Anolis sagrei: one gene and its partners. The protein of the gene in region 3 purifies or fractionates together with the protein of the main gene of each other region. This does not show direct contact. Links are inferred from orthologs where the notes say so. Each region holds a gene or a part of one and is shown on either strand. Other genes may lie near its edges.

Region 1 (7,994 bases), on a different chromosome or scaffold from region 3:
GTAGATACATTTGTTCTGTCAACACTTACCTGTAAGTATGTGGCGACTGGAGGATTTTGAGGATTCATTGTTTAACTCTGATTTGTTTCTTCGACTGGCTGTTCTTCTCTATCTGAAAATCAAACAGAACAAATAACCCTTGGAATTTTGAAAAGTATGCTACTGCTTTGAATATTGTTAGTTTCTCATCTTTACTATATCCAAGTACATTTTCTTTGGATGGCAGCTTCTAAAACATTCACTATCTGACAGTGCCATCTGCTGCTAGGCACTTCAGTTAGCAAATATATGGTATGTGGGCTGTTTTGTACTACTAAAGCTAACTGTAAACTGGGAGTACATCAAATTTGTAAAAGTAATGCCATTTGAGACCAATTTAATTGCCATGGCTCAGTGCTATGGAATCATGGGTTTTGTAGTTTGGTGTGACAACGGCATTCTTTGACAGAGAAGACTAAAGACTGGGTAAAACTACAACTCCCACAATTCCACACAGCCATATAACCCAGCACCCAGTCACACAGTACCTTTATCAATATCCCCTGAAAACATGGGAGGCATCACTACAAAGTACTAAAAACAAAATATTTTCAGTTGCAGGAATATCCCAGCTCTGTTCGGAAAATGAGGATATTCGTATCTCTGTATGTCCATACACCTGGAAAATATGGGATTTTTTATGTTGGTTTGTTTTCGGGTTATACACTTGTGCCTGTTATTCCCAGGCACTAGTACACGACCAAACCTGTCTGGCCAGATGGCCATGCAGCCTCTGAATGACAATAATAATGACAAAGTTCTGTTCCTGGCTTGAAAGTGTCAGTTCCTGTTTAATAGTGTAGTCTTCACTTTGAAAGTAGTGGTCTTAAGCGGCTGAGGGGAAAAAGGAAAGGGACTGATGCTGTTAGGAATGGTGGGAGTTGGAGTCCAAAACACCAGGAGGAAGGCCCAAGTTTGCCCATACCTTTTTAAGACAACCATTCAATATAAATATATTTATAAATATAAAGATGGTACTTCATCTTAAATGTAAAAGTAATTACTTAAATTATTTATTTATTTATTTATTATTTATTAACTTTCTCCCCAAGGGACTCGGTGTGGCTTACATGAGGCCGAGCCCAAACACAACAAAAGCAATAAAACATCAATACAAGCAATTAAAAACATAGACAATAAAGTACACAACATTATCAAAAAAGCAACACATCATTAAAACAGCGGGAAGGCCAAATGTAGAGTTAAAATTGGAAATAATGCTGGGCCATGAACGAAAGGTGATATTAGTGTTTGTGGAGGGCATACAAGCAGACTCAGGGAAATATAAAGTGCTTTGGAGGACAAAGTGCTATGGGATTCATTATACCGGGAAGGCACACTGGAACAGCCACGTCTTCAAGCTCCTCCTGAAGACTGCCAGGGTTGGGGCCTGTCTGATGTCTTTAGGGAGTGAGTTCCAGAGTCAAGGGACCACCACCAAAAAGGCCCTCTCCCTCGTCCCCACCAAACATGCCTGTGATGCTGGTGGGATCGAGAGCAGGGCCTCTCCGGAAGATCGAAGGGATCATGTGGGTTCGTATACAGAGATGCGATCACATAGGTAGGTGGGTCCCAAACCGTTCAGGGCTTTATAAGTAAGAACCTGCACCTTGAATTGGGTCCGGTAGATTAATGGCAACCAGTGGAGCTCCCTGAACAGGAGGGATGACTGCTCTCTGTAAGGAGCCCCAGTTAACAACCTGGCTGCCGCCCATTGGATCATCTGAAATTTCCGGGCCATTTTCAAGGGCAGCCCCACATAGAGTGCATTGCAGTAATCCAGTCTAGAGGTGACTAAGGCGTGGACCACCTTGGCCAGATCCGCCTTCCCAAGGTACGGTCGCAGTTGACGCACAAGTCTTAATTGTGCAAAGGCCCTCCCGGCCACCACCGACGCCTGAGCCTCAAACGTAAGTGAAGAATCCAGAAGGACTCAGCTTAAATATAAATATATTTATAAATATAAAGATGGTACTTTATCTTAAATATAAATATAATTAATTAAATAAATATAAAGATGGTACTTCATCTTAAATATAAATAAATAATTATAAAGGTGGTACTTCATCTTAAATATAAATAAATATAAAGATGGTACTTCATCTTAAATATAAATATAATTAAATAAATATAAAGATGGTGTTGTTCATTCGTTCAGTCATCTCCGACGCTTCGTGACCTCATGGACCAGCCCACGCCAGAGCTTCCTGTCGGCCGTCACCACCCCCAGCTCCTTCAAGGTCAGTCCAGTCACTTCAAGGATACGAAGATAGACTATTTACCTATGCTACAACAGCAGCGAGAATATTATTGGCGAAGTTTTGGAAACAGGAAGATATCCCTACCACTGAAGAGTGGTTAGGGAAATTAAGAGAAATAAGAGAAATTGACGAATTAACTTTTTTTTTCTTGAAAAAGAATACCGGGAACCCGATAAAGAGGACAGATTGGACTCTATATGAAAACTACGAAAAGGAAATAAATAAATAAGAGGAACATTATGAAGTGGATATAATGGAAAAATCATTGAGGACACAACACCTGATGGAGAGATGGAAGTCAATTTTTATCTTCTTTTTTTTCTTTTTTTTCTTTCATTTTTTTGTGTCTTTTATATTTTTGTATTTTTCTGGTGGACTTGGGGGTAGGGGGATGTACTTCTTACTTTTTTTCCTACTTTCCTATCATCTTTTTTAATATTCTCCCTCTTTCGATGTTATTCTTAAAATCTTAATAAAAAAAACTATTATAAAAGGATACCATCCATCCATCTTGCCCTTGGTCGGCTGCTCTTTCTTTTACCTTCCACTTTCCCCAGCATGATTGTCTTCTCTAGGCTTTCCTGTCTCCTCATGATGTGGCCAAAGCACTTCAACTTTGTCTCTAGTATCTTTCCCTCCAGTGAGCAGTCGGGCTTCATTTTCTGGAGGATGAACTGGTTGGATCTTCTCGCAGTCCAAGGCACTCTCAGAACTTTCCTCCAACACCACAGCTCAAAAGCATCTATCTTCCTTCGCTCAGCCTTTCCTAAGGTCCAGCTCTCACATCCGTAGGTTACTACAGGGAATACCATGGCTTTGACTATGCGGATCTATGTTGCCAGTGTGATGTCTCTACTCTTTACTATTTTATCGAGATTGGACATTGCTCTCCTCCCAAGAAGTAAGCGTCTTCTGATTTCCTGGCCACAGTCTGCATCTGCAGTAATCTTTGCACCTAGAAATACAAAGTCTGTCACGGCCTCCACATTTTCTCCTTCTATTTTCCAGTTGTCAATCATTCCTGTTGCCATAATCTTGGTTTTTTTTATGTTTAGCTGCAACCCAGCTTTTGCGCTTTCTTCTTTCACCTTGATTAGAAGGCTCCTCAGCTCCTCCTCACTTTCGGCCATCAGAGTGGTGTCATCTACATACTGAGGTTGTTGATGTTTCTTCCAGCAATTTTCACCCCAGCTTTGCATTCATCCAGCCCCGCACATCGCATGATGTGTTCTGCATACAAGTTAAAAAGGTTGGGTGAGAGTATGCAGCCTTGCCGTACGCCTTTCCCAATCTTGAACCAGTCTGTTGTTCCGTGGTCAGTTCTGACTGTTGCTACTTGGTCCTTGTACAGATTCCTCAGGAGAGAGACAAGGGGGCTTGGTATGCCCATCCCACAATTTATTATGATCCACACAGTCAATGAAGCAGAAATAGATGTTTTTCTGAAACTCCCTGCCTTTCTCCATTATCCAGCGGATATTGGCAATCTGGTCTCTCGTTCCTCTGCCTTTTCTAAACCCTGCTTGAACATCTGGCAACTCTCGCTCCATGTCTTGCTGGAGTCTTCCTTGCAGGATCTTGAGCATTACCTTACTGGCATGAGAAATAAGGGCCACTGTACGAAAGTTTGAGCAGTCTTTCGCATTTCCCTTTTTTGGTATGGGGATATAAGTTGATTTTTTCCAGTCTGATGGCCATTCTTGTGTTTTCCATATTTGCTGGCATATGGCATGCATCACCTTGACAGCATCATCTTTTAAGATTTTAAACAGTTCAGCTGGGATCCCGTCGTCTCCTGCTGCCTTGTTGTTAGCAATGCTTCTTAAGGCCCATTCAACCTCACTCTTCAGGATGTCTGGTTCTAATTCATTCACCACACCGTCAAAGCTATCCTCGATATTATTATCCTTCCTATACAGATCTTCTGTATAGTCTCGCCACCTTCTCTTGATCTCTTCAGCTTCTGTTAGGTCCCTGCCATCTTTGTTTCTTATCGTACCACTTTTTACCTGAAATTTACCTCTAGTGTTTCTAATTTTCTGGAAGAGGTCTCTTGTCCTTCCTATTCTGTTGTCTTCTTCCAGTTCCATGCATTGCTTATTTAAAAATAGTTCCTTCTCTCTTCTGGCTAACCTCTAGAATTGCGCATTTAACTGGGCATATCTCCCCTTATCCCTGTTTCCTTTTGCTTTCCTCCTTTCTTGGGCTAATTCCAGTGTCTCAGCAGACAGGGTACTTCATCTGAAATATAAATAAATAAATGTAAAGATGGTACTTCATCTTCAAAGAGCACATTTTTGAGAGAGACCCCTTTATGAATGTTATAATCTACCAGCATTATTATTATTATTGATATTTTATCTTATTGATATTTTAAAACGAAACCAGGAATAACAGTTCAAGGCTCTCAAATGTGTGAGAAGCATTTCTTCCTCTGGATTTTGGTTTTAGACCCTCTGACTTCATCTCTTTCAAACCCAATCCCCGCCTCTTTTTGCTTTGTGACTGGAACTATATTAGCAGCGTCACTCTTTCTCCTCAGAGCCGCTTCTCCTACAGCAAAGCTCTGGCGGAGGAATCATTTCAAGAGAACAGAAACGAGTCCCGGCGCGGAAGGATCCCGAGCATGCGCAGAAGGACGGTGGAGTAGGCCCCAGCCTGAGGCGGCGGGAGGCGCCGAGGAGAGGAGGAAGCGTAACGCGGCCGAGGACCCCTCCGCGGGGGAGAGTCGAGGGTGTGTGAGGCGCGGTCGGTTGTGGGGAGAAGGTGTTGTGGTGCTTTTGTGGCGGGGAATATGTATATTTATTCTGTTGTGTTTTTGTGAGAGGAAGAAGGCTCCTTTCGCCTCGGCCGGAGTGAGGGAGGGGCTTGGGAAGAGCGGGCGCGGGGCTTGGAGGGAGGCTTGAAGCAGAAGGGCCGAAGTAGGCCCCGGGGAAAGGCCGGAGAGGGAAATTGGCCTCGAGTCGCAGGGGAAGGCCTGCCGCGGAGGAGGGAAGAAGGGGCGTGGGGGCTCCGCAAAGGCTGCTGGGATGCCAATGCAATATTAATGGCCAGCGTTTTTTCCTTACAGCGGCCTTGCGAGGTAGGCGCCACTGCCGTACATTTAACTTTAGTGACGCAGATGAGGACCTGAAGCTTGAGGCCTAGGCCGCGTGGGGTTTACAACAGGCATAGAATCATAGAATCGAAGAGTTGGAAGAGACCTCACGGGCCATCCAGTCCAACCCCCTGCCAAGAAGCAGGAATATTGCATTCAAATCACCCCTGACAGATGGCCATCCAGCCTCTGCATAAAAGCTTCCAAAGAAGGAGCCTCCATGGGCAAACCATTCCTTTTTTAGACACTGGGTTGTGGTGAGTTTTCCCGGCTGTATGGCCATGTGCCAGAAGCTTCCTCTCTGACGTTTATGTATCTGTGGAAGGTCCAAGGTGGGAGAAATAACTCTTGGTTGCTATAAAATTTTCGGGCTGTATGACCATGCTCCAGAAGCATTCTCTTCTGACGTTTTGCCTGCATCTATGACAGGCATCCTCAGGAGGCGAAACGTCAGGAGAGAATGCTTCTGGAACATGGCCATTACATGGCTGTTTGGGTATCAGCCAGCACATCAACGACTTAAATCAAGAAATACTTTTCTTAGATCTACAGTAGGGCTGGGTAACCACGGAAGAATTTGTTTCTAAACTCGATTCGTTTTTAAGGGGTCCATCACGTTTCGTTTCTTTAAAGAATTCCGAAATTTTCCTTTTAAAATTTTTGAAATATACGAAATTTCGTAAATTTCGAATCGATTTGTTAATGGCGGACGCGATTGCACAATATGCTAAAAAAAACCTCCAAATATGCTGAAAAAACCTCCAAATGGGACAGGGGGAACTTCTAAAGCTTCCCTCTCCCTCTGTTGTTGACTGTTGGTGTGATAAAACAAACAACTATAAAACTTGCACCAGGCATGCGAAAATAATTTCGAAACAATTACGAAACAATTACAAAATAAGTTGAAAAATTGTTTCGAATCTATTTAACTCCTCACACTATTCCAAAATGGCTCAATATCGGATCGTAAGCTAATTTAAATACGAATTAATAATGAATTACGAAATTAATGAACGAAACCACCCAGCCCTAATCTACAGAGACACTCGCTGGAACACCTCAGCAAGCGAGAGTTCAAAAGTGGCAGGCTCAAACCCAGCACCTCAATCCGTGGGTGATACCAAATGAGAGACTCCCCCCTGGGCACACAGAAGACTGGGCGACTTGGAAGGCACTGAACAGACTGCGCTCTGGCACCACGAGATGCAGCGCCAATCTCAAGAAATGGGGCCACAAAGTGGAATCCACGACATGCAAGTGCGGAGAAGAGCAAACCACTGACCACCTGCTGCAATGCAACCTGAGCCCTGCCACATGCACAATGGAGGACCTTCTTGCGGCAACACCAGAGGCACTCCAAGTGGCCAGCTACTGGTCAAAGGACATTTAATCAACTACCAAGTTTGCAGAATTTGTGTTTTTTTATCTGTTTGTTTGTTTTGTTCTGTTAGAAATGTAACACAATGGTCTGGTTGCTGATGACACGATAAATAAATATGGCCATACAGCCCGAAAAACTTACAGCAACTAAGAGTTATTTCTCCCACCCCAGCCCTTCCACAGATCTATAAACTTCAGGAGATAATGCTTCTGGAACATGGCCATACATCCTGAAAAACGTACAGCAACCAAGAGTTATTTCTCCCACACCAGACCTTCAACGGATCTATAAACGTCAGGAGAGAATGCTTCTGGAACATGGCCATACAGCCTGAAAAACATACAGCAACCAAGAGCTATTTCTCCCACCCCGGACCTTCCACAGATCTATAAACGTCCGGAGAGAATGCTTCAGGCACATGGCCATACAGCCCGGAAAACTCGCCGCAACCCAGTGATTCCGGCCATGAAAGCCTTCGACAATACATGGTTCTCAACCTGGGGTCCCCAGATGTCCATAGACACCTCCAAGGTCATGTGGCCATTGTCCATAGACACCTCCAAGGTCATGTGGCCAGCATGACTGCATGGAGCGCTGTTACCTTCCCACCAAGATGGTACCTATTGATCTATTCACATTTGGATGTTTTTGAACTGCTAAGTTGACAGAAGCTGGGGCTAACTTATCCCACTCCCCAAATTCAAACCGCCAACCTTTTGGTCAGCAAGTTCAGCAGCTTAGCGGTTTGACCCACTGTGCCATCAGGCACGCCTTCGTCTAGTTTCCAATATACCTCACAACCTCTGAGGGTGCCTGCCATATATGTGAGCAAAACATCGGGAGAGAATGCTTCTGGAACATGGCCATACAGCCCAGAAAACTCATCGCAACCCAGTGATTCTGTGAATGAAAGCCTTCGACAACACTTTTTTTGACAGTTATTCTACAATACAAATATATTTCCGGAGGCCTTATTTGGAGACTTTTGGTTGTGTCAACATTGCCAAGTCCGAAATAGCAATAATAATATGGCTTACCAATAGTTGTCTGGTCATTGCCTTTATAGGTTATTGAGAAAGGCCTGATTCCACAGAAAGGTTTTAACTTGTGAGCAAAAGGCCAGTTACTTCCCAGTTCCTTTCCTCCTTCCTTTCCCCCTCATTGCTTACTCCTTCCTTGACTCCTTTCTTCTATTCTTGCATTTCTCTTCATCCTT
Region 2 (7,402 bases), on a different chromosome or scaffold from region 3:
CTTTGTGTTTTTCCCTTTGATGCTGGCTTGAGAATTATGTGGTTGGGGACTGTGAACATTAATTAAGGGAACAGAGATAGAATGAAAATGTCTAGTCATAGCTCCTAACTGCAGAGCTTAAGCCACTTGTTAATGCCACTGTTTCAAGTCCCAATTACTGTTCTTTGATAACTTCACAGGACAGCTTGAAAACAGTAATGAAAGACACATAAAAATTCAAAGAGGTCCTGAGACAGCAGGAGGTAATATTCCAGATTAAAGCAAGACCAGGCCTTAGAAGAGTAAAAGTCTTGCTTTTTCTGTATATGAAGGAAATTTTATCTCAAGGGAATACAAACTGACCATTGATGCTAATTAGAATCATACTGATTTTGAAAGCTTTAAGGAAACTAAAAACCAATGGGGCAAAATTTAGATAAATAAACAGCAACCTCTAACAAGACATCAATTTCAACTGAAATAAACTATTCTTTTTATGAAGTGGTTTTCTTCTCTTTAAAATATAAAATGGTCTTCACTTGATATAATGAGCACTTGATTCTATTATTCCTAACTCAAGAAAACATAATTATGCTTATATCAATAACAGCTTAATGATAAAGGAGCAGAATAAAAAGACAAACAAAAAAGGAGCAAGAAACGACTGCTTACATTAACTATTCTCTACTTATTTCATCAAATTTGAAATCATGGAATTTAGAGCTATTAAGAGCTTTTACCTGAGAGTAGACAATACTGAATGGACAAATAGTCTGACATGGGATAACTCAATGTTATTGTATGTCTCATGGAGTAAATGTACTGAAAAATCCAGCCCTACAGGTTGTTCAGCACTAGGAGAAGCTGGATTACCATAATGTCTTGGCACTAACAGAATACTGGCACTGTCAATTTCTAAATATGTTGGGGAGATGTAATTGTATGAAGGAAGAGATCACTTCTGAAGTCACCAATGACTTGAAATGATTTAACATGACGTTGCCTTTCAGCTGAAATGTGTCCTTTTATTTTGGTGGATTTGGAGTAATGGGAGATTAGGGGACCAAAATTATCATTCTGATGAGATGATTTGGAGTTTTCAGAGGCAAGTTTTACATGAATTTTTTTGCTGGCATCAGAGGACTTTGGAGGTTTCTAGAAGACATTAGAGACCCAGAGGCTGTGGCAAATCACGCACATTTTTCCCACCACTGTCCTATTTCCTGATGGTACTTATCCTCAGAGGCAACAAAGGATGGAAGCTACTATTAATTCCATCAGATCCCATATTTTTTTCAGATCAGTTGACCTAATAGTTGTGATGGCAAATACTCCTCAATTTTGTTCTGTGGGCTCTTCCACACAGCCACATAACCCAGAATATCAAGGTAGATAATCCACAATCTAGTTCAATGTGGATTTTATACAGCTGTGTGGAAGGGACCTGTGAAAGCTGATGCAGAGAGCAATTATCTTGCCCTCCCCCCAGGGTATCAACACGTGGCAAACCACAGAACCTGTAGTAATGCTGAATCTAGTTATCTACAAGAGACTGATGAAACCAACTAAGTTAAGAAAACTTTCAAAGATTTGTTTGTTGTTTCAACTATACTAAATCATGTCCTGATGGATATTCAGGCCATCCCATTACCACTTAAGATGGATGTTTTATATGTTCTCTGATTTTATGGTTGCTTTTGTTGTTTTCGTTTTTGTTTCTACCTGCACTTTACGGCATTGAATGTCTGCCACTGTTTGTTGCAAACTGCCCTGAGTCCCCACAGGGAGACAACGGATAGAAATAAAAATTATCATCATCATCATATTCAGTTACTACATCTGTAACTTCTTGAAATTTTACTATAGTATGACCCCTGTATCTGCATGTTATACATTCTGTCTCCCTCACCCCCCCCCCCACCCCCCGGATACCTGAAACTGTGGAGAACGGCAAACCATGTATTTAACTATACATGGCCAATAATATATTTGTGGATGGAACGCTTTATGAACTGTAGGTAAGTGAAATTGTGGGTAATGACTCCATTGATAAGGGGGGCATGCAGTATCTCAGATGCACACAAAGTAGACATGAGAAATGACTACAGAATATTTTGTGTAACAGACAGGTTGCAGGCAGGATCCATTTGTGAAGTTAGACTGTGATGGTGGTAGGAAAGAAACGTGCTTTCTTCATTGTCATTGTACCAGGAAAGTAACAGCCAGCAGAACTACTTCAGAGCATCAACTGTATGACAATATCCTCCAATATGAAGACTACATACACTATAGTACACTGTACCAAGTTTAGAAGATTTGACAATTTTCTAGTTTAGAAACTGCTTTTTTATTTTTGTAAAGAACCAACTGGAGTCTAGACTATTGTCTTTATCCCATTTGCATAATAAAGTATTTTTGTGAAACTGAGGCCCCTTCTACACTATATATTCCACATTATCAAAGCAGATAACCCAGATTATCTGCTTTGAACAGGATTATATGAGTGTACACTGCCAGATAATCCAGTTCAAATCAGATAATCTGGATTTTATATGGCAGTGTAGAAGGGGGCTGATTCCTGCTAAAACCCATGAAAGACCTTAATCGACACTACTTTAAAACAGATGCTGCATGCCTCTCTGAATGTTCAGTTCTTAAGCATCTGGGGGCCCTTCCACATAGCCATATAATCCAGAATATCAATGCAGATAATCCCACAATATCTGTTTTGAACTGGGTGATATGAGGGTCCTTCCACACAGTCCTATATCTCAGAATATCAAGACAGAAACTACCACAGTATCGGCTTTCAACTGAGTTACCTGAGTCCACATTTAGATAATGTGGAATTTTCTGCCTTGAAATTCTGGGATATAGAGCTGTGTGAAAGGGCTCTGAGACCACACTCCCATATATTCCAGTTCAAAGCTGAAAATGTGGGATTTCCTGCCTTGGTATTCTGGGATATAGTGCAGTGTGGATATAGGATTGTGTGGAAGGTCCCTCAGTGGAGTGGCTGTGCTCTCTTGCTATGTGATCAGCTCCTGGGCTATAGGGTCTGTCTAGGGTTCCTTCCATGCAGCTGAATAAAATTCCACATTTTTTGCTTTGAAGCAGCAGCATGGATTTGGGGCCCTTCCACACAGCCCTATATCCCAGAATATCAAGGCAGGGAATCCAACATTATCTGAGTGTAGACTCTGATAACCCAGATCAAAACGGTTTTAAATGGTGTATTTTAATATTTTGATAAATGTTTTTTAATGTTTATGTATTGTATGTGAATTTGTATCCCGGCATTGAATGTTTGCCATGTATATCCTGTGCTCCGCCCTGAATCCCCTTTGGGGTGAGAAGGGCAGAATATAAATGTTTTAAATAAATAAATAAATAAATAAAGCAGATATCGTGGGATTTTCTGCCTTGATATTCTGGGATATAGGGCTGTTTAGAAGGGCCCTCAGATAATCCAGTTCAAAGCAGATATTGTGATATGTTCTGCCTTGATGTCCTAGAATATCAAGGCAGGGAATCCCATATTATCTGAGTGTGGACTCGGATAACTCAGTTCAAAGCAGATATTGTGAGATTTGCTGCCTTGATATTTGTGAGATTTGCTGCCTTGATTCTATGGCTGTGTGGAAGGGCCCTGGAAGAGCTCTGGATAATATAGCCGCGTGGATTCAGATAACCCAGTTCAAAGCAGATATTGTGGATTATCTGCTTTGATATTCTGGGTTATATGGCTGTGTGGAAAAGCCCCCAGATGCCTAAGAACTGAACATTCAAAGAGGCATGTAGAATCTGTTTTAAAGTAGTGTTGATTACAGTCTTTCGTGGGTTTTAGCAGGAATCAGGCCACACAGCCATATAACCCAGAATATCAAGGTAGAAAATTCCATAATATCTGCTATGAACTGGGTTATCTGAGTCCACACTGCCATATTTTCCAATTCAATGCGGAAAATGTGGGATTTTATTTAGCTGTGTGGAAGGGGCCTGGGGGCTAGAGTGCAGCAGGCCACCTGGCCCTCCTGTGAAGCCTTTCCAGCCGACGAAGGAAGACTCACCTGCTTGCCCGAATCCACCCACTGACGCTCCACGTTTGGGCTGCCGCTAGAAAGAAGAAAAAACATAAACAGTAAGATGTTGATTGAGATGGCGAAGCAGATCCGGCATCGCGTCTATGAAACACTTTGCCACCGCAAGCACCTTCCTTCACACTCACCCCAGAGCGCCGCCATTTTGGAAGCCCTCCTTCAGGGCTTTACGGCAAAGGCCTTCAAGAACGCGCCGCTTGGCCCCACGCGGCCACCGTTTTTCCCGCGAGCGGGCGCGTTTGCAACAGCACGTGAGGCGCGTACTTTGCGGCAGCGTGTGGTAACCGAAGCATCGGAGGCGTGAGAGAGAGAGGAGAGGAGAGCAGTAGTGCCGAAGCAGATGGAGGGCTCTCCAGGCGCCGCGGAGCGAGTGCTGCCGGCCTCTCCCAACTGGTACTGCGGCCGGTGCAGCGACGCCTCCGAGGACGGGCGCCTCTTCGGCTTCGCGGCTCGCCACACGGTGTGCCTCCTGCAGGCCCGCCCCGCCGCCCCCGCCTTCTATGGTATTTATTTATTTATTTATTTATTTGCTTCATTTCTATACCGCATTTTCAGCCCAAAAAGGCGACTCAATGCGGTTTACAGGGTACAAATTATCATAACAATCTTAGTGCAATTAAAAACACAACAAATATAACAACAGGATCAACAACACCGATCCACAACAATTAACAAACAACATGAAACAAACATAGCGCCTCAATGAAATCAGATCCAAACTCATCATCCTTGTATCATTCCTATGTTCCATTTACTGTCTTCCTATGTTCAGTTGCACTGTTAACCAAACGCTTGTTCATAAAGCCAGGTCTTGACCTTTCTCCGAAACGCCAGCAATGATGGTGCCTGTCTGATGTCCACTGGTAAGGCATTCCATAGCCGAGGGGCCACCACTGAGAAGGCCCTGTCTCTCGTCCCCGCCAAGCGCGCCTGTGACGCAGGCGGGACCGAGAGCAGGGCCTCCCCAGACGATCTTAATGTTCGAGTCGGTTCATAGGTGGAGATGCGTTCGGAGAGGTAAGAGGGGCCAGAACCGTTCAGGGCTTTATAGGCTAAAGCCAGCACCTTGAATTGTGCCCGGTAGCAGATTGGCAGCCAGGTACGCAGCCAGGCCAGGCCTCCTCCTTTAAGGGCCTCCCTTTAAGGGCGCCTCCGCTCTGTCGAAGGAGTGCAGCTCCACACCGCTTCAACCGCCCTGGCACCATGCTACAGGAGCCCGTTGTACAAGATCTTGAGCCTTCCCTCAGCCCATGGGTGTTGAAGTGGTCTCAAACTATTAAATCTGGGTGTTTTCTTTTTGTAGGTTTTTTCGGGCTATATGGCCATGTTCTAGAGGCATTTTCTCCTGACGTTTCGCCTGCATCTATGGCAAGCATCCTCACAGGTAGTGAGGATGCTTGCCATAGATGCAGGCGAAACGTCAGGAGAAAATGCCTCTAGAACGTGACCATATAGCCCGAAAAAACCTACAACAACCCAGTGATTCCGACCATGAAAGCCTTCGACAATGTATTAAATCTACCCTGTGAATGCACCCTGAGAGATAGAAATTGGTAGCATGAGCTTTCCTGGACGAAAGCGTTTCATCCAATGCAATTCGTACCTCTACATGAGTCTCCAGAGCTGTGGTTCTCAACTTCCAGAAATCCCAGTTTACAAGTTATTAGGATTTCAGAGAGTTGAACGCCAAAACATCTGGGTACCCACAGGATGGGAACCACAGCTCAAGAGCAAGCAAACTCTTGCTTTCCCCAATTCATTAAAACGGTGGCCCTCGTGGAAATGAGAGCCCCCTTATTTAGGCACAGAATGCCTCTACAGTCTACCCTAGGCCCGGCTGTTAGGAATTGTGGGAGTTGAAGTCCAAAACAACTGAAGGCCGAAGTTTGCCCATGCCTGGACCACACTGTAGAATAAATGTGATTTGACCTTGCCTTAACTGCCCTGGCTCAATCTTATGGGATCCTGGGACTTGTTGTTTCTTGAGACACCCAAACTCTAGTAGAGAAAACAGAAGGCCTTGTAAAACTTTGGCTGTTTTTTATCTGTTAATAAGTTTAAAGTTAGACTGCTTATTTATTGTTTATTGTTTCAATTTTTTTTTGTGTCGGGAGCGACTTGAGAAACTGCAAGTCGCTTCTGGTGTGAGAGAATTGGCCATCTGCAAGGACATTGCCCAGAAGACGCCCGGATGTTTTGATGTTTTACTATCCTTGTGGGAGGCTTCTTTCATGTCCCTTCATGGGGAGTTGGAGCTGACAGAGAGAGCTCATCCACGCTCTCCCCAGATTTGAACCTGTGACCTGTCGTTTCATATGATTTGTTTTGATGTAATTTATTTGTATATTTTTCCTTTTTGACATTGAATGTTTGCCATATATATTAAAAACCATCCTGAGTTCCTTTGGGGAGATAGGGTAGTTTACAATTAAGGATTATTATTATTACTACAACTCCCATGAGCTTCAGCCCCTGTTATATTTTAGTAATGCAGGCTCTTGTGTGTGTTGCGGAGGATTAGTTTGGGAATAGTAATAATATGCTCTGAGAACTTCATGATTCTTCTTAAAATAGGATCTAGAGAGCATACCCTTAGTGTGGGACATGCAATGGGAGCAGGGTATAGGGTTACAGCCTGTGCTGGATGGGGTCGCACTCCCCTTGAAGGCGCAGGTTCGCAGCTTGGGTGTGATCCTGGATTCATCGTTGAGCCTGGATCCCCAGGTTTCAGCGGTGACCAGGGGAGCATTTGCACAGCTTAGGCTCGTGCGCCAGCTGCGCCCGTACCTTGGGAAGTCTGACTTGGCCACGGTGGTACACGCTCTGGTCACATCCCGCCTTGACTACTGCAACGCTCTCTACGTGGGGCTGCCCTTAAAGACGGCCCGGAAGCTTCAGCTAGTCCAGCGCGCGGCAGCCATGTTGTTAACAGGACCAGGACGCAGGGAGCATACAACGCCCTTGTTGTTCCAGCTCCACTGGCTGCCGATTTGCTACCGGGCCCAATTTAAGGTGCTGGTGTTATCCTACAAAGCCCTAAACGGTTCTGGCCCAAAGTACCTTGCGGACCGCATCTCGGCCTATGAGCCCACGAGGACCTTGAGATCATCTGGGGAGGCCCTTCTCTCGATCCCGCCTGCCTCACAGGCGCGTCTGGCGGGGACGAGAGAGAGGGCCTTCTCGGTGGTGGCCCCCCGCTGTGGAACTCCCTCCCTGCTGACATCAGACAGGCGCCCTCCCTTATGGCCTTTCGCAAGGGCCTGAAGACATGGCTTTTCGAGATGGCATTCAACTGAGTGCTATGTTACTGGAAATGACAACTG
Region 3 (6,976 bases):
ATGTTGGGGCATGCCTGATTTCCTTTGGAAGTGAGCTCCAGAGTTGGGGGGCCACCACCGAGAAGGTCCTCTCCCTCGTCCCCACCAATTGCGCCTGTGAAGGAGGTGGGAGAGCGAGCAGGGCCTCTCCAGATTATCAAAGAGATCGTGTGGGTTCGTACACAGAAATGCGGTCAGTTACTGTATTGCAGGTTTTGTGTACTCATACTGCAAATAAGGTAATGGAAGGCTGTTGCAGTACACTATCCTACACCATTATTAGGACACTGGGCTATAAAACTAGTGTCAAAAAGCTTTCTCTTCTCTCCACTTTCATTTTCTTTAGCACCTTTTAGATTGCAAACTGAAGGACTATGCTGTAGCCATATAAAATTCACTACACATAGATGACTCTGTCCTAAACAGTGGGCTAAAAGTGCTTCAAGTACAACATTAAATGCATGCTTCTACCACATTGTTATTGTAATTTTCCAAGAAAATATACAAACACTGCTTACAATAATAATTAAATTAACTTGTGTCACATAGACTGCTTTCCATTTTCACCAAAATGTAAAACTAGTATGACCTTGATATCTACTGGAGAAATGATACCTGACACTGTGGGCAATAGTAAACCCTATATTTTGATTGCACGTTTGCTGGATTTACACTGGAGGACCTAGAAAGGCCTACAAATAAATTTGGAGTATGGGTAATTGAAACTATAGATATCAAATTTGTGGATAATACTGTATAAATAGTTTTCAGTGCAGTCTTAAATATATGTCTTCACAAGAAAATCCTGCTGTGTCCAGGTAAAAGTGGAAAGAACTGCAGCCAAAAGGACAACAGCTAATTGTCAATATATTAAACAATTCACTCCAATAACAACCAAAACAGTTAAAGACAAAGCCTACTAGAGAGTGAAAATTATAAGCTGGAACACACACACACACATATCTTGACCCTAGGCACCAGAACATGGTAGAATAAAAGATCTGAGCTATTTTCTTACCTTCTTTTTTAATTTTGTCATTAACATTATTGATGTAAAGCGTGTGATTTGGTCGAATATCCATCTTCTAACTTCCCTAGGAAACAAGATAGCTTATTTAGCCTTTTCTCCAAGGAACTCACTTTTTTGTTTTGCATTTTTCAGGCAATTCTAATCAACCCAAGCTGATCCTACTTATGGTGTTTTTCTTGTCAAGATTTGTGTAAGTTTGCGGCAGCTTTCCTATTGGTTCTCACTTCCAAAGACAACTGTGAGCCCCACCAATGACGGAACTGGAGCAAACTTGGCACACTGAAATCCCATGACCCACTTAAGTTCTGGTGGGGTTTCTTGGGGGAAGAACTCTGGATGATGGGAGTTGCAGTACTGTCCCGCACATCATGAGATTACTGCAAACCTCTTTAGCCATAGATCTGGACCAAACCTGGCACACAGACACCCCATGACCCACTTTGAGTCCTGGTGGGGGTTTTTTTTTGGGGGGGGGGGGAGGTAGGAACCTGGATGATGAGAGTCGCAGTACCTTCACCCGCATCCAGAGACAACTGTGAACCCATCAACCATGAATCTGGACCAAAGTTGGAACAGATACCCCATGGCCCACTTTAGGTCCTAGTGGGGTTTGGGGGGGGGGGGGGTAGGAACCTGGATGATGTGGGATTTGCAGTACTTTGACCCACATCCAGAGACGACTGTGAACTCCATTAACCATGGATCAGGACCAAATTTAGCACATAGATGTCCCATGACCCACTTTAAATCCTGATGGGGTTTGGGGGTATAGGAACCTGGATTATGGGAGATGCAGTACCTTCACCCACTACTGCCAACCCCATCCAGAGGACAGGAGCAGGATTCAAAACGATCTTGACAGATTGGAGAGATGGGCCAAAACTAACAAAATGAAGTTCAACAGGGACAAATACATGATACTCCACTTTGGCAGGAAAAACGAAATGCAAAGATACAAAATGGGGGACAATGCCTGGCTCGAGAGCAGTACGTGTGAAAAAGATCTTGGAATCCTCGTGGACAACAAGTTAAACATGAGCCAACAATGTGATGTGGCGGCAAAAAAAAGCCAATGGGATTTTGGCCTGCATCAATAGGAGCATAGTGTCTAGATCTAGGGAAGTCATGCTCCCCCTCTATTCCACTTTGGTTAGACCACACCTGGAATATCGTGTCCAATTCTGGGCACCACAATTCAAGAGACATATTGACAAGCTGGAATGTGTCCAGAGGAGGGCGACTAAAATGATCAAGGGTCTGGAGAACAAGCCCTATGAGGAGCGGCTTAAGGAGCTGGGCATGTTTAGCCTGAAGAAGAGAAGGCTGAGAGGAGACATGATAGCCATGTATAAATATGTGAGAGGAAGCCACAGGGAGGAGGGAGCAACTTGTTTTCCGCTGCCCTGGAGACTAGGACACGAAACAATGGCTTCAAACTACAAGAGAGGGGATTCCATCTGAACATGAGGAAGAACTTCCTGACTGTGGGAGCCGTTCAGCAGTGGAACTCTCTGCCCGGGAGTGTGGTGGAGGCTCCTTCTTTGGAAGCTTTTAAGCAGAGGCTGGATGGCCATCTGTCAGGGGTGATTTGAATGCAATATTCCTGCTTCTTGGCAGGGGGTTGGACTGCATGGCCCATGAGGTCTCTTCCAACTCTTTGATTCTATCTGCAAGAATTTCTAACGGGTGCATTCACAAAATCCAAAAACAAGCCATGCCTTTTTTGAAAGCTAGTAGACCAGGCACGGGCAAACTTCGGCCCTCCTGATGTTTTGGACTTCAACTCCCACAATTCCTAACAGCCGGTTAGGAACTGTGGGAGTTGGGAGTTCAAAACACCTGGAAGGGCAAAGGTAGTCTATGTTGACCCAAAAAAAACCCATCTTTTGACAAAACAAATCCGAAGGATCACAATGGCAAGGCTGAACCATCCAGGACCGCCTACCTGAGCGGAGAGAAGGGACTGCGGGCTGGAGAACGAAGAGGGAAGCACGAGAGAGACGACTTCACGAGCACCGCCTTTCCGCTTCCGGGCGCAGAAGCTACTTCCGGCTCTCCATGAAGGGGCGGGGCTTTCTCACTTTAGAGCTGCCAGCATCATCGTGGCCTCATAGGGTGAGGGGAACCTTGTAGAGTCATAGTAACCTTTATAAAGAGACAGGGAGTAGGGAAAGGAAACGTTTAGTGTTGTTCTAGGAGAGCAAGGGGAGAAGGAGGAGAGAAAAACCTGGCCCTCTTGTCTTCACCTGCCTCAGGAGTATAGAGGCCTATCAAACTTATCACTAGGTTCATACAACCACTGGGCAAGAACTCTCATTCCCCCCAAAACTGGTTGGCCACATGGAATGCTGCAAAGGATCATAGAATCCTAGAGTTGGAAGAGACCTCATGGGCCATCTAGTCCAACCCCTGCCAAGAAGCAGGAATATTGCATTCAAAGCACCCCTGACAGATGGCCATTCAGCCTCTCTTTAAAAGCTTCCAAAGAAGGAGCCTCCACCACACTCCGGGGCAGAGAGTTCCACTGCTGAACGGCTCTCACAGTCAGGAAGTTCTTCCTCGTGTTCAGATGGAATCTCCTCTCTTGTAGTTCGAAGCCATTGTTCCGCGTCCTGGTCTCCAAGGAAGCAGAAAACAAGCTTGCTCCCTCCTCCCTGTGGCTTCCTCTCACATATGTATACATGGCTATCATATCTTCTCTCAGCCTTCTCTTCTTCAGGCTAAACATGCCCAGCTCCTTAAGCCGCTCCTCATTGGGCTTGTTCTCCAGACCCTTGGTTATCTTAGTCGCCCTCCTCTGGACACATTCCAACTTGTCAATATCTCTCTTGAATTGTGGTGCCCAGAACTGGACACAATATTCCAGGTGTGGTCTAACCAAAGCGGAATAGAGGGGTAGTGTTACTTCCCTAGATCTAGACACTATGCTCCTATTGATGCAGGACAAAATCCCATTGGTCTTTTTTTGCCGCCACATCACATTGTTGGCTCATGTTTAACTTGTTGTCCATGAGGACTCCAAGATCTTTTTTACACACGTACTGCTCTCGAGCCAGGCATTGTCCCCCATTCTGTATCTTTGCATTTCGTTTTTCCTGCCAAAGTGGAGTATATTGCATTTGTCACTGTTGAACTTCATTTTGTTAGTTTTAGCCCATCTCTCTAATCTGTCAAGATCGTTTTGAATTCTGCTCCTGTCCTCTGGAGTATTGGCTATCCCTCCCAATTTGGTGTCATCTGCAAACTTGATGATCATGCCTTCTAGCCCTTCATCTAAGTCATTAATAAAGATGTTGAACAGGACCGGGCCCAGGACCGAACCCTGCGGCACTCCGCTCGTCACTTCTTTCCAGGATGAAGAGGAAGCATTGGTGAGCACCCTCTGGGTTTGTCCATTTAACCAATTACTGAAAGAAGACATGAGCCAGGATAAAACAACCCAAAATCAGGTTTCTTTTATGTATAATGTCTGCTTGCTAAAGAGGTATGATAACATAATAATAATAATAATAATAATAATAATACTTTATTTATACCCCGCCACCATCTCCCCAAGGGACTCGGAGCTGCTTACATGAGGCCAGGCCCAACAACCCATCAATAAGAACAAGAAGCAATAAACAAAAACAATAAATACAATACAATTAATATAAATCACATATAAACAATAACCAATAAACAGTAACACAACAAGGATTAAAAAACCTATGGCTGGGCCAATGTAATAGTTTAAAAATTAAAAAATAAACGCTGGGCACGAACAAGGTAGGATATATCTGGTATAGGGTTTTAAAAGAGAGATGAGGGAGCGCAGTCAATCCTAAACCAATTGTAAAGTGCATTCTGAGGGCATATTGCTGAGAATTTTCCTTATTCTGGGAAGGCATACTGGAACAGCCACATTTTCAGGCTCCTCCTAAAGACTGCCAGAGTTGGGACATGCCTGATGTCCTTGGGAAGTGAGTTCCAGAGTTAGGGGGCTGATGCGGAGCATCTCCCCCCCCCCCAAGTATTTGTAGTTCGCCAAGGGCCAGACAATGGATTCTGTTGCTTCCTGACCCAGCACACATAACTGGGTTCCTGTTTCCTCTCTGTGAATTCTCTGGCTTGTGCACTGGACCCTGGCCCCTGATCAGGGAAATGTAGTTTTCTAAAGGACATTGCCCCACTCTCCACCATTTGTGAATTCCTTGCGGACCTCTTTGCCCTCACTGATTGACTTGATGCCCTATCGTCATGAACTTCCTCCACGGACTCTGAACCAGGCCTCTTGGAGAGAATAGTCTCCGCCTGTGCGTGCGCCCTTGCCAAGAAGATCATACTTCAAACAGAGATGAATTGCTTTTATCAATTGTTATTACCTCTAATAAACTTTGCTGGGTTGGGATGGGGATCTCTTTATGAAATTTATGAAACTTATGAAGATTTATGAAGAATGTATATGATATGTATAATATGAAATCTATGAGATGTACCCTTGCCCTTTTCCCTACTTTTCTCCTCTGAACTTTACCCTACTAAGAAAGGATGTGACCTGAGGCTACAGCGGAGGAAATCCAATTTCCTCAAAATAACCCCATTCATATTGACATTTTGCATGGATCAGGGTTGACAATTATCTCAAGGTTTGTTTTCAGAGTCAGACAAACAAGCCAGAGATGGGTCAACCGAAACCCGGAAAACGGACTGATTAAATCAATCATGGTATTTGTGTAAGCTCCTTTGTGATTAAGGGTCCCCTTGTCTACAGAGTTTTGAGATCCAAATGCCACCAATAGCCCCTTTTCATGTCTATACACATCTGCAATCAGAAATCAGGAAATCCTTTGTTTCTCCCGTCTGCCACCCTGCCGTGTAAGAACAAAGGCTCTCAATCAGCTGGCGGACGCCTCCCAGGCGTTCCGCCCCCTCTGAGCTGTCAAACCACGTCCCGCCTCCTGGCCGCTGATTGGACCATCTTCGGAGGCGCTCTAAGGGCTCTGATTGGCCCCCTAGAGGCGACAGCGCCCGGCGATTGGAGGGGAGGCGGGACAAGCGGCCAAGCCTCCTCCCAGCTGTTCCAGAGCCAGCCAATCAGGGCGGAGAGAGCTGACAGAAGGCGGGCGGGAGTTTCAAACCAGGTTTTCTTTGTTTTACTTGTATAAATATGCCTGGAAATCACTGTACTGTATGCTTATGGTGGAATTATCCCTGTAACGCATCCTTTTCAGCTGAATCGCAGAAATAAACGCTTCGGTCGCTGGATACCTCTTCAGCCTCTGGTGGGATTAATTCTTAATATTTTGCGCTTTGGATTGGCTTTTGCTGGCAGCTCACCAAGGTCAGAGACCCCCTTTGCGGTCTTCTGGGGCCTTCCTCGCTGGGAAAGCCCCCCAAAAAGAGCTCGATATCAGGGCCACCACTGAGAAGGCCCTCGTCCCCATCAATCGCGCCTGCGAAGGAGGCAGGAGCGCGAGCAGGGCCTCTCCTGATGATCGAAGAGATTGTGTGGGTTCGTACACAGAAATGCGGTCATGCAGGTAAGCGGGTCCCAAACCGTTCAGGTAAGAACCTGTACCTTGTATTGGGACCAGAAAATGAACGGCAGCCAATGGAGCTCCTTAAACAGGCGGGTTGACCGCTCCCTGTAAGTGACACCAGTTAGTAACCAGGCTGCCGCCCATTGTACCAATTGAAATTTCCGGGCCATTTTCAAGGGCAGCCCCACATATTGTGCACATCTGAGTGTGGACTCGGATAACCCAGTTCAAAGCAGATATTGGTGGGATTTTCTGCCTAGATATTCTGGGATATAGGACTGTGTGGAAGGGCCCTTCTACACAACCATATAAAATCCAGATTATCTGCTTTGAACTTCAATGCCCTTCCACCCAGCCCTATATCCCAGAATATCAAGCCAGGAAATCCCACATCTGAATGTGGACTCGGATAACCCAGTTCAAAGCAGATAATGTGGGATATTCTGCC

What was found.
Region 1: the proteins of SNRPB2 (region 3) and SNRNP70 purify together in Homo sapiens (affinity purification with mass spectrometry; 5 studies listed by BioGRID and IntAct, counting the BioPlex papers as one, with this or other methods). This does not show direct contact. The link is inferred for Anolis sagrei from reciprocal best matches to the Homo sapiens genes SNRPB2 and SNRNP70.
Region 2: the proteins of SNRPB2 (region 3) and GEMIN5 purify together in Homo sapiens (co-immunoprecipitation; 3 studies listed by BioGRID and IntAct, with this or other methods). This does not show direct contact. The link is inferred for Anolis sagrei from reciprocal best matches to the Homo sapiens genes SNRPB2 and GEMIN5.

What each region holds. Positions count from the first base shown.
Region 1 is NC_090026.1:28,579,698-28,587,691, reverse strand, and holds the start of SNRNP70 (U1 small nuclear ribonucleoprotein 70 kDa), read left to right. Parts: upstream 1-4,914; 5' UTR 4,915-5,034; intron 5,035-7,994. UniProt on the Homo sapiens protein: Component of the spliceosomal U1 snRNP, which is essential for recognition of the pre-mRNA 5' splice-site and the subsequent assembly of the spliceosome. SNRNP70 binds to the loop I region of U1-snRNA.
Region 2 is NC_090022.1:81,734,844-81,742,245, forward strand, and holds the start of GEMIN5 (gem-associated protein 5), read left to right. Parts: upstream 1-4,322; 5' UTR 4,323-4,419; coding exon 4,420-4,582; intron 4,583-7,402. Other genes in the region: MRPL22 (large ribosomal subunit protein uL22m), read right to left, coding at 4,050-4,095, 4,208-4,223. UniProt on the Homo sapiens protein: The SMN complex catalyzes the assembly of small nuclear ribonucleoproteins (snRNPs), the building blocks of the spliceosome, and thereby plays an important role in the splicing of cellular pre-mRNAs.
Region 3 is NC_090021.1:157,445,656-157,452,631, forward strand, and holds the start of SNRPB2 (U2 small nuclear ribonucleoprotein B''), read right to left. Parts: upstream 3,053-6,976; 5' UTR 2,955-3,052; intron 1,074-2,954; 5' UTR 1,062-1,073; coding exon 998-1,061; intron 1-997. UniProt on the Homo sapiens protein: Involved in pre-mRNA splicing as component of the spliceosome. Associated with sn-RNP U2, where it contributes to the binding of stem loop IV of U2 snRNA.